2 linked regions of the Caenorhabditis elegans genome follow. The protein of the gene in region 1 purifies or fractionates together with the protein of each later gene. This does not show direct contact. Each region holds a gene or a part of one and is shown in the gene's direction. Other genes may lie near its edges.

Region 1 (7,279 bases):
CACAAGCGGCTTACAAACTTTTGTGGGTTTTGCTCTCAGCTCATATTATCGGAATGTTGCTCCAACGAATGTCTGCAAGACTTGGAGTTGTCAGTGGAAAACATATGGCAGAGGTAATATCTAAGTTACATTGAGTAAATTTAAATATTATGTGCTTAAGGTTGCCTACCAATTTTACCCAAGACTTCCTCGCATCATTCTCTGGCTTATGATCGAGATTGCAATTGTGTGTAGTGATATGCAAGAAGTTATTGGAACAGCAATTGCCATTTTCTTGCTCTCTAAAGGATTGTAGGTTGAATTTTGCTTTGGCGTGTTTTAACATGTTTTTAACAGCGTTCCACTCTACGTTGGAGTTTTCATCACAATTCTTGACACCTTCACATTTTTGCTGATCGACCGGTACGGAATCCGAAAACTGGAATTAATCTTTGGATTTCTTATTTTAACAATGACAGTGTCATTTGGCTATGAGGTGAAATTGACAAAGCCTGAAAAATGTTAAATGCAAGTTTTTTTTCAGTTTGTCGTTGTGAAACCTCCAATTGGTGAAGTTATATCTGGAATGGTGGTACCTTGGTGCGCTGGATGTGGAAAAGGAGAGTTTATGCAAGCGATATCAGTTGTCGGAGCTGTCATCATGCCGCACAATTTGTACCTTCATTCGGCTCTAGTGAAGGTTTGACTTTATTATTCAAATTTTCGGTTGACTGTGTTGATCTGACCATCTGATAACATGTGACAGACCTAAAGAAAAACAACAATAATTTTGTGAAAAACAAAATGCGGAGTTATGATCTTTAAAAAAATCTATCATGATCGAATTTTGATAAACCGCGGAAAACGCGAATACGTATCAGCTGTTTGAATTTTTTTGCAAGTTTATTTTTTACACGCATGCAATACTATGCACTTTAGAAATAGAAAAATAGTAAATTCATACTTTGTGAACCGTATGCCTAAATTTCTGAAACAAATAGACCACGTATTAAACAATTGTATGCAACAATTGTATTTTTGTTTTTACCACCAAATGTTTCGAAGAGTTCTATTCAAAAAATTATTTCTTCAATGAGAATGTTTTTTTTATGAAACTGTGGTCTGTGGTGAAATTATTAATGATTACAAATTTCAAGCTGATTTTTTTCTTATTTTCTTTAAAACGTCAACGTCGACTTGTTGCTAGTATTGATTGAAACGTGGTCCATTACACTCTTTCAAATGAAATTTCAGTCTCGCCGTGTAGATCGTAAAGACCGTCGTCGTGTGGCTGAGGCCAACAAATATTTCACACTTGAGTCGGCAATTGCTCTTTTCCTCAGCTTCTTCATCAACCTTTTTGTGGTCGCCGTTTTCGCACATGGACTTTACCAGAAAACAAATGCGGATGTTGTTAGTGTCTTTTTCAAAAATTATTTTTGATTGCTCGTTTTCAGAGAGAAATGTGCATAGCCAGACACGACATCCCGGATGCAGATATATTCCCAAATAACACTGAACCAGTTGAGGTGGATATCTATAAGGTTACACATTTTCTTTTTTCCGCAAAACAAAACAATGTTATTTTCAGGGTGGAATTTATCTCGGATGCCAGTTTGGAGCTATTGCAATGTTTATCTGGGGAATTGGAATATTCGCAGCTGGACAGTCATCAACAATGACAGGAACATATACAGGACAGTTTGTGATGGAAGGATTTGTGAAAATTGAGTGGCCCAAATGGAAGAGAGTTCTAATTACAAGAGCGATTGCAATCACTCCAACCCTCGTGCTCACGTTTTATTCGCAAGGAGTTCAAAACTTAACAGGTAGAACTATCAGGGATAGTACAGCTACAAAAATATATAAAATCAGACTTATAAATATTGTTTTCCAGGAATGAATGATTTCTTAAATTGTGTTCAAATGATTCAACTTCCGTTTGCACTAATTCCAATCATCACATTTACCTCGAGCCGAAAAATAATGCACGACTTCAGAAGCTCTAAGTGAGTAAAAAATTACTGATACTTTTCAGATTTATCTTTTTTTTCAGAGTTTTTCAAATTTTTGCTCTGATCACTTCTGCGTTAATTTTATCGATTAACGTTTATTTTATTTCTGACTACGTGTTTTCTCGACTTGGTAGTGAGTGGTATATCATAATGGTTCTTGCTCCGATCACCTTTGCATACGTGCTCTTTGTGTTATATCTAGTAAGTCTATGTGTTAGTTTTTTGTGGCTTTATTATTGGAACTTCAACAATTTACAAGTTTCATTGACAATGATATCCGCCTACAATCTGAAAATTTTAGTAGTGATTGTATTTCGCCCGGCACTTCTTGAAAACCATATTATTAAAAAAACTAAATTAAATTTGATAGTGTCATATTTAACTACTGATAAACTTTAACTTTTGTTCATTACCGTTAATTTTTCAGGCACTATACTGTTTGGTCTCTTGTGAAATTATCCCAGACACCGTTTCCATCCGAGGATTCAGCTTTAACAAGTCATACGAAAACGATGCTCCGTGGTTGGCGGTTGATTCATCAGCAGTCCATGACAATGCAGGATATCAATAATTTATATTAAATGAGCATAATTCTCATTTTGGGTTTTTCATCGTGTTTTTTTCTTCACTTGTGTGTATGTTTATATGTTTCCACGACTCTACTTTTCTATTAAATTGAATAGATATAAAGTATGTTTGAGACTCTTTTGATGTGCCTCGCAGAAAATGTGAAATTGTGATACAACATCAGGAACATCAGAAGACAAGAAAAGAAACATCATTATTTGTTTTATCGTGCAAAAAATGAGCTATTTATTGGAAAAACTGTTGAAAATCACTAACGTGGTGCCAAACTGATCTAATATCACAAAAATAATTTCAAAATTTGTTTGAAAAACTTTTATTGACAGTATTCGAATACCTGCAATGTTTGATTACTAATATTTGAAACTCTATAAAATTAGAACGAAAGTTTTTTTTTTGATCTACGACTTCCAAAAATGTGGTAGAAACTTGATAATTATCAATTTTTGAAAGAATTTTTCTTTGAAAAGTTTGATTGCGATATTTGGCTATTTTGACACCACGAAAGCCGGGTTTAAGCTATTTCTCACTACTTCTCCTTCAATACAAGCAAAAAAAAACTAAGCATGTTTCTGCACATGAATAGTAAGCTGAATACAAAAAAACATGACTATAATAACTTGGGAAATCAGGTAAAAATGTGCAATTTTAATTGTTATTGTGTGTTAATTGTTAATCTGTATGTGAAATTTATATCAAAATTGCAAAAATACTCAAAATTTCTTTAAAAAAGTAAAAAAAAAAAATCTAATTTTATAGTTCACCAAAATTTGACTGAAATGTTTGGATTCCAAATATTCCAAACTTTGGAATATCTAAAACATGTAAGAGATTTAATGTCGAAACTCAATTCTCAAACATTTTTAGTTTATATTTCACAATAAACAAGTTACAAACTCTCACCTGTCTATTTTTTTCATGCTTGCCACATGAAGCAGAGGATTTAATTGTTGGGAGTAGTCTTATTTGTTTTTAGATAACAGAGGAACTGCGGAAGAAATTTTTTGTTATGATTACTTATTATCAGAGGAGAAAAAATAACAACATAAAAAGTATAAAACACATGAGTCCGACAGTAACCTGTATTTGCTGTTGCTAACCCTTGAGCTCTGAAAATGCCTGGTTTTCAAAACGCTAACATATCTGATCTAGCTCCCCCGGCTCGAGAAAAAACGTTTGATGACACGATTGCAGTAAAAATTCCCGAAGATGAAAAGGTATTATTTTAAATCAAGCAAAACAAATTTCAGTTTGCATAAATGCTCAGAATACATGGTTCTCCTGGCGTAAGCTTTGGGCATTTACTGGCCCTGGATTTCTAATGAGCATTGCGTATTTGGATCCAGGAAACATTGAAAGTGATCTCCAGGCTGGAGCTCAAGCTGAATACAAACTTCTCTGGGTTTTATTGGTGTCTCATATTGTTGGAATGCTTCTTCAACGAATGTCCGCAAGACTAGGCGTTGTCAGTGGGAAACACATGGCTGAAGTAGATAATTCAACTTTTAAAATAATTTTGTAAATTCATTAAGATTGCTTATGATTACTATCCGTTGGTTCCCCGAATCATTCTTTGGCTCATGATTGAGATTGCGATTGTATGCAGTGATATGCAAGAGGTTATCGGAACGGCAATAGCCATTTATTTATTGTCCAGTGGCAAGTAAGATCAATTTTAACTAGAAAATAATTTAGGAAAACTTCACAAAATTCCATTTTCAGAATTCCTTTATTAGTCGGCGTTCTAATTACTATCTTGGATACTTTCACTTTTCTGTTCATTGATAGATATGGCATCCGAAAACTGGAGTTTATATTTGTTGCTCTAATTTCTACAATGGCAATTTCTTTTGGTTACGAAGTAAGCATTTATCATTTTCTATCCAGTTAAATTCAGCTTTTCAGTTTGTTGTGATGAAGCCAGTGTTGACTAAAGTTCTTACTGGTACTGTTGTCCCCTGGTGTAGTGGATGTGGAAAGGAAGAAATTATAACGGCTATTTCCATTTTTGGAGCCGTGATAATGCCACATAATTTTTATTTGCATTCAGCTTTGGTTAAGGTTAGTTCTATCGAAATAACGTTATGTGATTCTAAGATTTTGAGTCACGAAAAGTCGACCGCTCAAGCAAAACTCGCATTGCCGAAGCGAACAAATATTTTTCCATTGAATCGGCGTTTGCATTGTCCGTCAGTTTTTTTATAAATCTGTTTGTTCTCTCCGTATTTGCACGTGGACTTTATCAAAAGACCAATGGTGACGTTGTAAGAAAAATAAACTGATAACAAATGATAAATTTAAAATTAATTGAGAATTCAATGTGTCTGTCTCACAATGATATTCCCGATTCGAACGTCTTTCCAAACAATACATCATCTGTAACAGTGGATTTGTTTCAAGTATGATTGGAAATTAATCCAAATGTCACGTTTTTATTCAAGGGTGGGATATACCTGGGATGTCAGTTTGGACTATTTGCAATGATAATTTGGGCGATTGGCATATTCGCAGCAGGACAATCATCAACAATGACAGGAACATATACAGGACAGTTTGTGATGGAAGGATTTGTGAGAATCTCGTGGCCGAAATGGAAACGTGTACTGATAACCAGAGCGGTTGCAATCACTCCAACGTTGATCCTCTGCATAAAAGCCCACGGCATCAAAAATTTGACAGGTAGATTTTCAGTCAAGAATTGGTAAATGTCAGGGAATCAAGTTTCCGGTTGCTGAAAAAAATTTTTAGGCAACTTTGGAAATTGCCTGGTGGCAAAAAGTGATGTTACAACACAGTCGCTATAGTATATTTTTGGTATATTCTTGAGATTCATGCCGCTTTTGATCGAAAACAAGTTGTATACCATAATTTAATTTTCAGGTATGAATGACTTTCTAAACTGTGTTCAAATGGTACAGCTACCGTTTGCATTGATTCCGATGATTACATTTACTTCCAGTAAGCGGATTATGCACAATTTTCGAACTTCCAAGTACTCACAAAACCAAGCAAATTAGAACAATTTTTATTTTTCAGACCTCTACAATACTTTTCTATTATCTGTGGAATTATTACAATCGGGATCAACGTGTACTTCATTTTCCAGTATGTGACTGAAAATTTCGGCACTGGTTGGCTGATTTTTGTTATTATTGGGCCATTTACTTTGTTATACATTGCTTTTATCCTTTATCTGGTTTGTCTTTCAAAAATTCAAGTAACTTTTAGTTGTGTAATTTTAGGCTATCTACTGTTTGGTTGCTTGCGAACTTATGAACGACACTGTGGTATTTTTTTATTTTTTTCCCAGAAAACGTTGACTAAATCTCTTGGTTCAGAACCTTCCGGGATTTGATTTTCATAGAACACTGGAACTGGATGCTCCGTGGATCACAGAAACCTTTGTTGTGAACGATGTATACTTTTAATTATTAAATTTGCTTTATGATCACATTCAAAAATACATTATTTTCCAATAGCACACAATCCACAACTCTTCTTACAATTGGCAGCCATGTATTGATCATGTCCCGGATTTTTGCACAAGTCTTTGAGAGCCCATGCTCCGCAATAAACATTTTTGTCATCGCATCCTGAAATTTTGATTTTCAGTATTATTAACACACATTCCACTCACCAGGTTGACAATACATTTTTTTCAGAAGTTCAATATCGGTTGTCCCCATCTTTTGCCTTTGTCCAAGAACTTTAAGATTCACGGCAGAGTTTGTTTTTGGGTTCATAGTAGGAATCGCAATGTTTTGAGCAGCAGTGTAACCGTTGTAATGCATGATACTGTCGTATGCGTATTTCACTCCGTATCTAGAAGTTTTGTTTTGAACCATATGGATTACTAAACACTTACGAAGTGTACAGTTTTGAATCCACCACAACAAATGCATCGTATTGTTGTGGATCAATGTTACTCCAATTAATAGTAATAAATTGATCACGATCATTGCGAAGGTGCTGATGGGCAACTCCGAGCGCATGCATTGTTTCATGAATTGCAACTCCTTTGTTCTGAAATTTCCTCAATTGGGAAATAATGACATGAAAGATTTCTTACATTGTCACATCCAAAACTAAGATAAACTGGGTTGGCAGGGTCAGCTCGACCAACATACGAAAGACCACAGCTGAATCAGACGTTATAAGTTTTAAACAACCGTTCTACTTATTTTAGTTTGACCTCTCGATAAGAACACCTCTGTGTAATATGAACTCACAATGTCGGACTGTCAACTTTGTAGTAAACAATATGAGATCCAGTTGGTGGGGAACTGAGCTCTTTGAATCTTATGCAGGTGTTCTTTTCAATCTCGTAAATTGCTGCCCGAACGTCATTTTTGTCAAGATCCTCTGAATATTTTCAATATTTTCAACAAAAAAATGTTTGCAACCTCACCTAAAGAACTGTCAAGTACATATCTGATTGGGGAACTTGGATCCCATTTCTTGATCAGATTTCCTTCAAAATAGAGAGCGGATCTGAAAATAGTAGTGCATCACTAGGATGAGATGGGCAGCAAATCTACAATTCTGCCCGTTTTAGTTTTAGTTTTTTCTTAAAAATGTAGAAAATTATTTGATTGATTTGAAGGAATCATATTTTTTGGAAAATATTTGAAAAACCTAACTGTAACTTGTTTTTTTTGCAAACAACGTTAATACGTTAATACATTAGTTATACTCGGGAC
Region 2 (7,279 bases), on another chromosome or scaffold:
TAGTATATTCGATTTGGGGATCTCTGAATAAAATTCTTTGAATTTCATTGAGTGGTGAAGATCTTCAACTTTAAATGTTTCTGTTTTTTCGGCAAAGTATGGTTTGCCAAACTTGGTGAAAACTTGAAAACCTGCAATTTGTTGTTGGCCAAAAAATTAATTTACCTCCGACTTATATTGGAAAGTATGTATACATACGCTAATTTCCGTATGCTATAAGTTTGGAGCATGTCGAAAACGTATAATAGGTGCTCCGTTTTTTACTTCCAATTTTTTATAGAAAGGTTCTTTTTTAATATGAACATTTCTAAAATTAACTTTTCCTAACCTTGCTATTAGGCCGACAAGAGTTCTAGAAAATCATTGAAAATCGTAGAAACTTTTGACAATTTTGCGTATTTAAATTTGAATGCGCGGAGGATATTGATTGCTAACTCTAACAGCCGAATTTTTTTAATACAACGCCCATGCAGACAGACATCAGAACTACTAACTGAACAGAAAGGAAATTTGGCGACATCCTTGACGACTACAAATTCAGAGAAAGGCCGTGCAAATGTGGAACCCAGGCCGTGCAAATGTGGAAACCAGAGAGTATATCCGCAAATATTTCCTTGAAATTTATGGCACTGACTCAATGAATTGTAATATGATTGGGACCTTGTTTCGTGTGAGATAAAATTACTGGTCAATAGCTTTAGAATTTTCAAGTTTCAGGGAGGATCTGGGGAAACAACGTTTCGATCATGGGCAGCTTTAATTATGGTGACCTCAGTATCAGTGGCGTCAATCTTCTCATTTTTAATCATGGCTAAGAAAGTTATTTTCCCAACTCATATCGAGCATGAAATTTTAAATTATTAACATTTCAGATAATGTACAAACTGAAGAAAATGACAGTGAATGCTAGCAAAAAAACAGTGAAGATTCAATTTGAACTACTACGAGCATTGATTGTCCAAACCGCCATTCCGATTTTTATCAGCTTTTCCCCATGTCTGATTGGCTGGTATAGTCCAGTTTTTGACATCCAATTGCCCAGGTATTTCTCGTTACAACGATCGCATGAGCGAGAAAAATTATTCCAGAGGATTCAACTACTTGGAACTTAGTGCTCTTGGAGTTTTTGCGTTTGTTGACCCGGTGGCAATAATTCTCTGTCTTCCGATTCTCCGGAAAAGAATTTTTTGTTTTAACCGTCACAATTCATCAATCGCGGTTAACGTGGAAGGAATTAAAGATTGAGGAATAACCTGAAAATTCTTGTTCTCTGGGGATCTACACGACAATTTATGCAAAATGCTACAGGACAAAATTATGTATATCAGAATAATGATTTAAATTTGATTTGATTTTACCTGTATATAATACAACGTTATTTTGTAAAATTTGCACAACTGCACCATTCATTCACCAATTTTTACAATACACAGATGCTATTTGGTTTGAAAATTTCAAAATAAAATTTGAAAAATTTTTTCAAACGAAGCGACAGACCAGAAGATGGAATTTCTGAAAAGGCCGACGAGAGTTCTAGAAAGTTACTGAAAGTCGCAGCAACATTTGAAAGTTTTGAGATTTAAATTTGAGTGCGCGGAGGTTATTGATTGCAAACTCTAACTGACCATTTTCTTTCAATCGGCCTTTTGAAACGCTGTTTTGGATTTGTCTATTTTTACAGTAACCTTTTTGTTATGGAAACATACAATACACATAGAGACAGACACCGGAACTATTAGATGAACAAAAAGGAAATTTGGCAACATCCTTAGCGACAACTAATTCCGAGATAGGTGTCTGTCTCAATTTGGCTTGGACTGTTTTCGTCAAAATATAGCACGAGTGATGCTCGACGAATGGTTTTTTCTTTACATTCCGCGACTTTTTTGCGCGCTCTCATTTCTGGTAAATCCTATATTTGTCTATCTTATCTTCTCTGAAAAATCTGCTAATTTTGGCAACTATCGATTTCTTCTCTTATCTTTCGCAGTATTCAACTTGATCTATTCAGTTGTGAATGTACTTGTTCCACTGGTAAGTAACAGAAAATCGTGAAGCAATTTTTTTAAAATTTGAATGATAAAATTTATTCAGGACATCCACAGCTATGGTTATTGTTGTTTCCTCACCGTCAGACATGGGCCGTTTTCTGAAGTTTCCGAGTTCAACTTTCACATGTTGGTCGGTCGCTGCTCTTTGGTGTCAGCTAGCTACGCAATTATCCTACTCCATTTTGTCTATCGGTACCTTGTGGTTCAAAAGTCAAGCCTTACTGACCGGAACTTCCACTGGTATATGACTATATCGGCGTTTGTTTTAGTATTGTATTTTGTAACATGGCACGCAATTTGTTACTTCCCAGGCCGTGCAAATGTGGAAACCAGAGAGTATATTCGCAAAGATTTCCTTGAGATTTATGGCACTGACTCAATGAATTGTAATATGATTGGGACCTTGTTTCGTGTGAGATAAAATTACTGGCCGATAGCTTTAGAATTTTCGAGTTTCAGGGAGGATCTGGGGAAACAACGTTTCGATCATGGGCAGCCACAATTATGGTAACCCTATTATCAGTGGCGTCTATATTCTCATTTTTAATCATGGCTAAGAAAGTTATCTTCCAAACTCAAATCAAGCAAAAATTATTAACATTTCAGATAATGTACAAACTGAAGAAAATGACAGTGAACGCTAGCAAAAAAACAGTGAAGCTTCAATTTGAACTACTACGAGCATTGATTGTCCAAACCGTCATTCCTATTTTCATCAGCTTTTCCCCATGTCTACTTTGCTGGTATAGTCCAGTTTTTGACATCCAATTGCCCAGGTATTCCTTATTAGAACAATCGCATCAGCGAGAGAAATTATTCCAGAGGATTCAACTACTTGGAACTTAGTGCTCTTGGACTTTTTGCGTTTGTTGACCCGGTGGCAATAATTCTCTGTCTTCCGATTCTCCGGAAAAGAATTTTTTGTTTTAACCGTCACAATTCATCAATCGCGGTTGGGGTGGAGGGAATTAAAGATTAAAGAATAACCTGAAAATTCTTGTTCTCTGGGGGTCTACGCGACAATTTATGGAGATTGCTACATGATACAGTTATATCAGAAACGCCGATTCGATAATTATTTGAAAAAAATTTGATCTCAAACATAATAAAGCGCTATTTTTTCATGTGTTCACTACAGCACTTTTCAACCACAAAATTTGACAATTGACAGATGCTATTTGCTTGGATCATATCAAAGTAAAAATGGAACAACTATTTCAAATAAAGCGATGTGTCAAATTGAACAGATCACAATTTCAGTTCATAGTCCATTTTTAATGAGTGCACAGACATCATAAGCAGTCAACCTGAACTGCCAGTTCACGTCTGACACAAATTTCTTGAACACTGTTATGAAGATTACTGAGAAGTTGACGAAACATTAAAAACTATTTCAGTCTTACTTTGTCATTATATTATTTAAACTTTTGTAGAAGCATTATTTTTAAAAATTGGTTTTTTGAATCCTTCCTTTATTTTCTTCGGAATTCTAAAAAATTCTTAGAAAACGGAACTATAAATGCTAGAAAAACAGTGACAAGATACAAGTCGCTTAGAAGTATTAAGAAAACTGCTCACAGACTTCTGACTGCCTTGTCCTTTTCTCATTTCCGTACCAGCGCTAGACACCTACCCACAAAAATTGTATTTTTCTACTTAACAATTCTTGTTATTATCACTTTTTTATTATTTTTGGTCGATAATTTTCTTCCCTCTTCAGTTCTCATTTGTTTTTCCCAGCAGAACATGATGGAATTCCCTCTGAAACCCTTCCTTGGCTTCTTATTCGGACTGCTATCAGGCATCAGTCTGATCTTAAACCTCATCACCATCATCGCGGTGTTTCGGCTGGCATTTTGTAAACGGAAGAATCCAGTTTACATTGTGTCGTTTTTCAACATTTTGTCAGATGTTTTTCAAGTGAGCGCGGCTACTTTCTACTCGGCACCGTCTATTATTACCAGTGTAAGTTTTAAAGATTCCAAATGGGTCTCGCCTCGATCTGTTTGCCGCAGGTCCAAAATTTTGGTCGCTGCACTATGATTAACTTTATTACTTGTAAACGCACATTTTTGCAGTCTTTCTTGACAAGCTTTTCCAAAACCAACACATTAAACACAACATTAAGCTCTATTTTTCTCTTCCTTTGGTACTTCGAGACAATTCTCCAGGTGGTCATGGGGCTCAACAGGTAAGTATTACGGGAACACAAAATTCTGAGAATGCGTATTGCGCAACATATTTGACGCGCAGAATTTCTCGTAGCGAAAACTACAGTAACTCTTTCAATGACTACTGTAGCGACAAAATGAATGAATCTTTTGAAAATAAATACAAAAATCGAGCCCGTAAATTGACGCAAGCGCTACAGTAGTCATTTAAAAAGTTACTGTAGTTTTCGCTACGAGATATTTTGACGTGAAATATGTTGCACAATACTCATTTTCAGATACGTGATAATTTGCCTGCAAAAGCATAAAATATTCACATTCCGTACTACAATTTTGCTCATTGTGCTTTCGATCCCAGTTTCTCTGGGTTTCATGTTCAAATCACAGTATTGGAATCTGTGCTGCACGTGAGTCAAATTGGTTTTTCGTTGAAAAAATGTCTCAAACAACTTTAAGATTTGTTTATGATCATAATTACCTCTCCTACTCGTACAATGTGATAGAAGGAGTTGCAAACTCGTCGAACAACTTTGATGTTCCTTTAAACGCTCTCAGCTCTGTGGTTTCGGCGTTTTTCTACGTTATGGTGAGTTTTTTGAGTTATTTTTGTCTACTTTCACAAAAAGAATGTTTCGAAACAAATAGTTTTTAGATATTCTGGACAGTTCACAAATCGACGCCCAACTCATCAACTGGTGAAGAGCAAAAATTACGGAGGGAGCGAGATGTCAAGTAAGCCTTCCGCTTAAAAGCGCGCTTTTTGAAATCGAGGTGCAAACGCGCTCCGTCGACAAAAGTTGAGTCTCATTAGGAAAGTTGTTATATATTTTCAGTCGATTTTTGATGAGTTTTAAGATGAAAATATCGTGTTTTTTAAACTTTGGCATAAGATTGTTAAATAGACGGCTTTGACGCGACTACCTAACGAGACCCAACCTTTTAAGGCGGAGCGTATGTATTTATCGGTGGGACACACTTGTATAGGGTATTTCAGTGGGGTGCGCTCCACGGGCCGAGCCTTTCGTAAAAGCTTATTCTCTCAGATACGCCTTCCAATTCTGCCTTCTTCTGATATTTTACATCTGCGCATGGTCCCTGTTCCGAATTCTGCCCCTAATCATCGCAAATCATGGAATCGAGTGGTTTGTGTTGATTCCAATGTTTTACACATTGAATTGCACTTCCAATGCAATAATTTATTTGGGATTCAATAGCGAGGTGAGATAATTGATTTAATTTAAAATGCAATTTAAAAATAATTTTGTAGGTCCAGGAAAACTTAAAGCCTCAAAAACTGCAATCCATTCTTCGCATTCTAAAATTTATGAAGCCTGAACCATCCTTTCAAGACGTCAGTTTGGCAAACGCGACGAATGCATCAAGTGTCGCTCCGATCCGCCACGTTGCACTACGATTTGTTCCAAAAAAAATTCACCAGCCATTTCGATCGATTGGAGTTCGAGAGGGACCATAATAATTTTTTAAGATTTTGCGTTTAAAAAAATTTCAAGCAGTCTCAAATTCAGAAATACCACAAAAAACAAACGCGCGAATTATATTTTGCGAATTTTCAACTTTTGAAGTATCGTCTTTTTGTCTCGAAACTCCGCCTATTTTTCCAGTGATTTTCTCCAAAATTTGAACTGCGACCAATCAGCGACTTGCTCCACCAACTTTTCAACCAATCAGAAGAAGTGGGCGGAGTGAGACGACACTGATTGGTTATAAAGTAGGTTTTCATTTTGGAATGAATTTAACGAAAATTGAAATATCACGTTTTACTACGGTAACACACAATTTTGAGAATGAAACAATATATTACCGATACAGAGCGTGTAGATAGTGAGAGAGTGGCAGACATCCGGGTCCCAAAGGGGCGGGGCGCGCGGAAGAGACGATTTGTGTCGATTTACGAAATTTTTCCCGTTGACAACATTCCGTAAATCGACACAAATCGTCTCTTCCGCGCGCCCCGCCCCTTTGGGACCCGGATGTCTGCCACTCTCTCACTATCTACACGCTCTGTATCGGTAATAATGGACACCAAAATATATCTCATAGCGAAAACTACAGTAGTTCTTTAAATGACTACTGTAGGGCTACTTGTGTCGATTTACGGATTTATCAATAGAATATTAAAATTAATCAGAAAATTGGAAAATAATACGGAGGAATGCAGGAAAAAATTCAAAAAGAAATTCATTTTGAAAACCGAGCCCGTAAATCGACACTACAGTAGTCATTTAAAGAATTACTGTAGTTTCCGCTACGAGATATTTTGCGCGTGAAATATGTTGCACAATGCGTATTTTTAGATTTTTTTTTTTCAAATTTTTTGTCTCAAAATAAATAATATTTATTATACTATTAAAAAAACAACACAAAATATGAGAAAGTGACACAACAAAAATCACGTTAGAATAAATATTACACAACCGGCAAAAAAGTGAGAGTTGAGATGGGGAATTATTCAAAGATGTTCGTCGAGCGTCGCGTTCGGGCCGGATAGGACTTCTGGGCTCCGCCGCGGGCCTGCTCGAGAGATCGCTTTAGGTATGGGCGCTTCGGTGGCGTCGATTTTGAAGTTCGCGGGGTGGATTTCGGCGGAGATTTCGGTGGAGTCGGCGAGGAAATGATCGAAATGCCCGGCGTCGCTGTTCCGAGTTTTGACGGAGTGAATCGGAATTTCAAGTTGATGCGTGGTGGTCGTGATGGCTCCGGCTCCGGCATCGGAGTTCCATTCGTGGATTCTTGAGCGCTGTTCACCGAGGTGGTGTCCGAATCGTTGTTCAGATCCGTTTCCTGTCCTCCTCTACTACCACGTAGATTCGCTAGGCGAGTTGACATGGCCTTCTGAGCACGCGTCTGCTTTTTTGGGTCTTGCCTGGAATTCAATATTTCTTTTTAAATTTAATTTTTTTCAAAAACTCACTGATAAATTGTGATATTACTGGCCTTCATTTTCTCTTCCAGCCTCTGCTTATCTTCAGGAGTAACCAGGCGATCTGGGGTCTCGAGGCGCCAATTTCCGCACAATTTGTTTTTTTCTTTATAGTA

Evidence for each region. Proteins that work in one complex are often made in the same cells at the same time.
Region 2: the proteins of smf-2 (region 1) and srx-4 fractionate together in Caenorhabditis elegans (co-fractionation; one large-scale study listed by BioGRID). This does not show direct contact.

What each region holds. Positions count from the first base shown.
Region 1 is NC_003284.9:6,715,086-6,722,364, reverse strand, and holds smf-2 (NRAMP-like transporter smf-2), read left to right. Parts: upstream 1-3,669; 5' UTR 3,670-3,694; coding exon 3,695-3,796; intron 3,797-3,846; coding exon 3,847-4,068; intron 4,069-4,111; coding exon 4,112-4,242; intron 4,243-4,301; coding exon 4,302-4,440; intron 4,441-4,484; coding exon 4,485-4,640; intron 4,641-4,684; coding exon 4,685-4,843; intron 4,844-4,891; coding exon 4,892-4,978; intron 4,979-5,020; coding exon 5,021-5,258; intron 5,259-5,459; coding exon 5,460-5,571; intron 5,572-5,615; coding exon 5,616-5,775; intron 5,776-5,821; coding exon 5,822-5,866; intron 5,867-5,917; coding exon 5,918-6,007; 3' UTR 6,008-6,044; downstream 6,045-7,279. Other genes in the region: NRAMP-like transporter smf-1, read left to right, coding at 1-113, 161-291, 337-475, 524-679, 1,234-1,392, 1,437-1,523, 1,571-1,808, 1,877-1,988 and 2 more; Zinc metalloproteinase nas-11, read right to left, coding at 6,045-6,172, 6,217-6,401, 6,445-6,602, 6,649-6,718, 6,809-6,941, 6,988-7,070. UniProt on the Caenorhabditis elegans protein: Probable divalent metal ion transporter which regulates Mn(2+) uptake.
Region 2 is NC_003283.11:689,292-696,570, reverse strand, and holds srx-4 (G-protein coupled receptors family 1 profile domain-containing protein), read left to right. Parts: upstream 1-3,800; coding exon 3,801-4,016; intron 4,017-4,129; coding exon 4,130-4,242; intron 4,243-4,500; coding exon 4,501-4,629; intron 4,630-4,678; coding exon 4,679-4,808; intron 4,809-4,874; coding exon 4,875-4,954; intron 4,955-5,265; coding exon 5,266-5,440; intron 5,441-5,489; coding exon 5,490-5,696; downstream 5,697-7,279. Other genes in the region: srj-52 (Serpentine Receptor, class J), read left to right, coding at 557-670, 718-819, 873-1,042, 1,089-1,245; srj-53 (Serpentine Receptor, class J), read left to right, coding at 1,846-2,034, 2,095-2,463, 2,511-2,612, 2,658-2,827, 2,874-3,030; H25P19.1 (CUE domain-containing protein), read right to left, coding at 6,689-7,106, 7,155-7,279.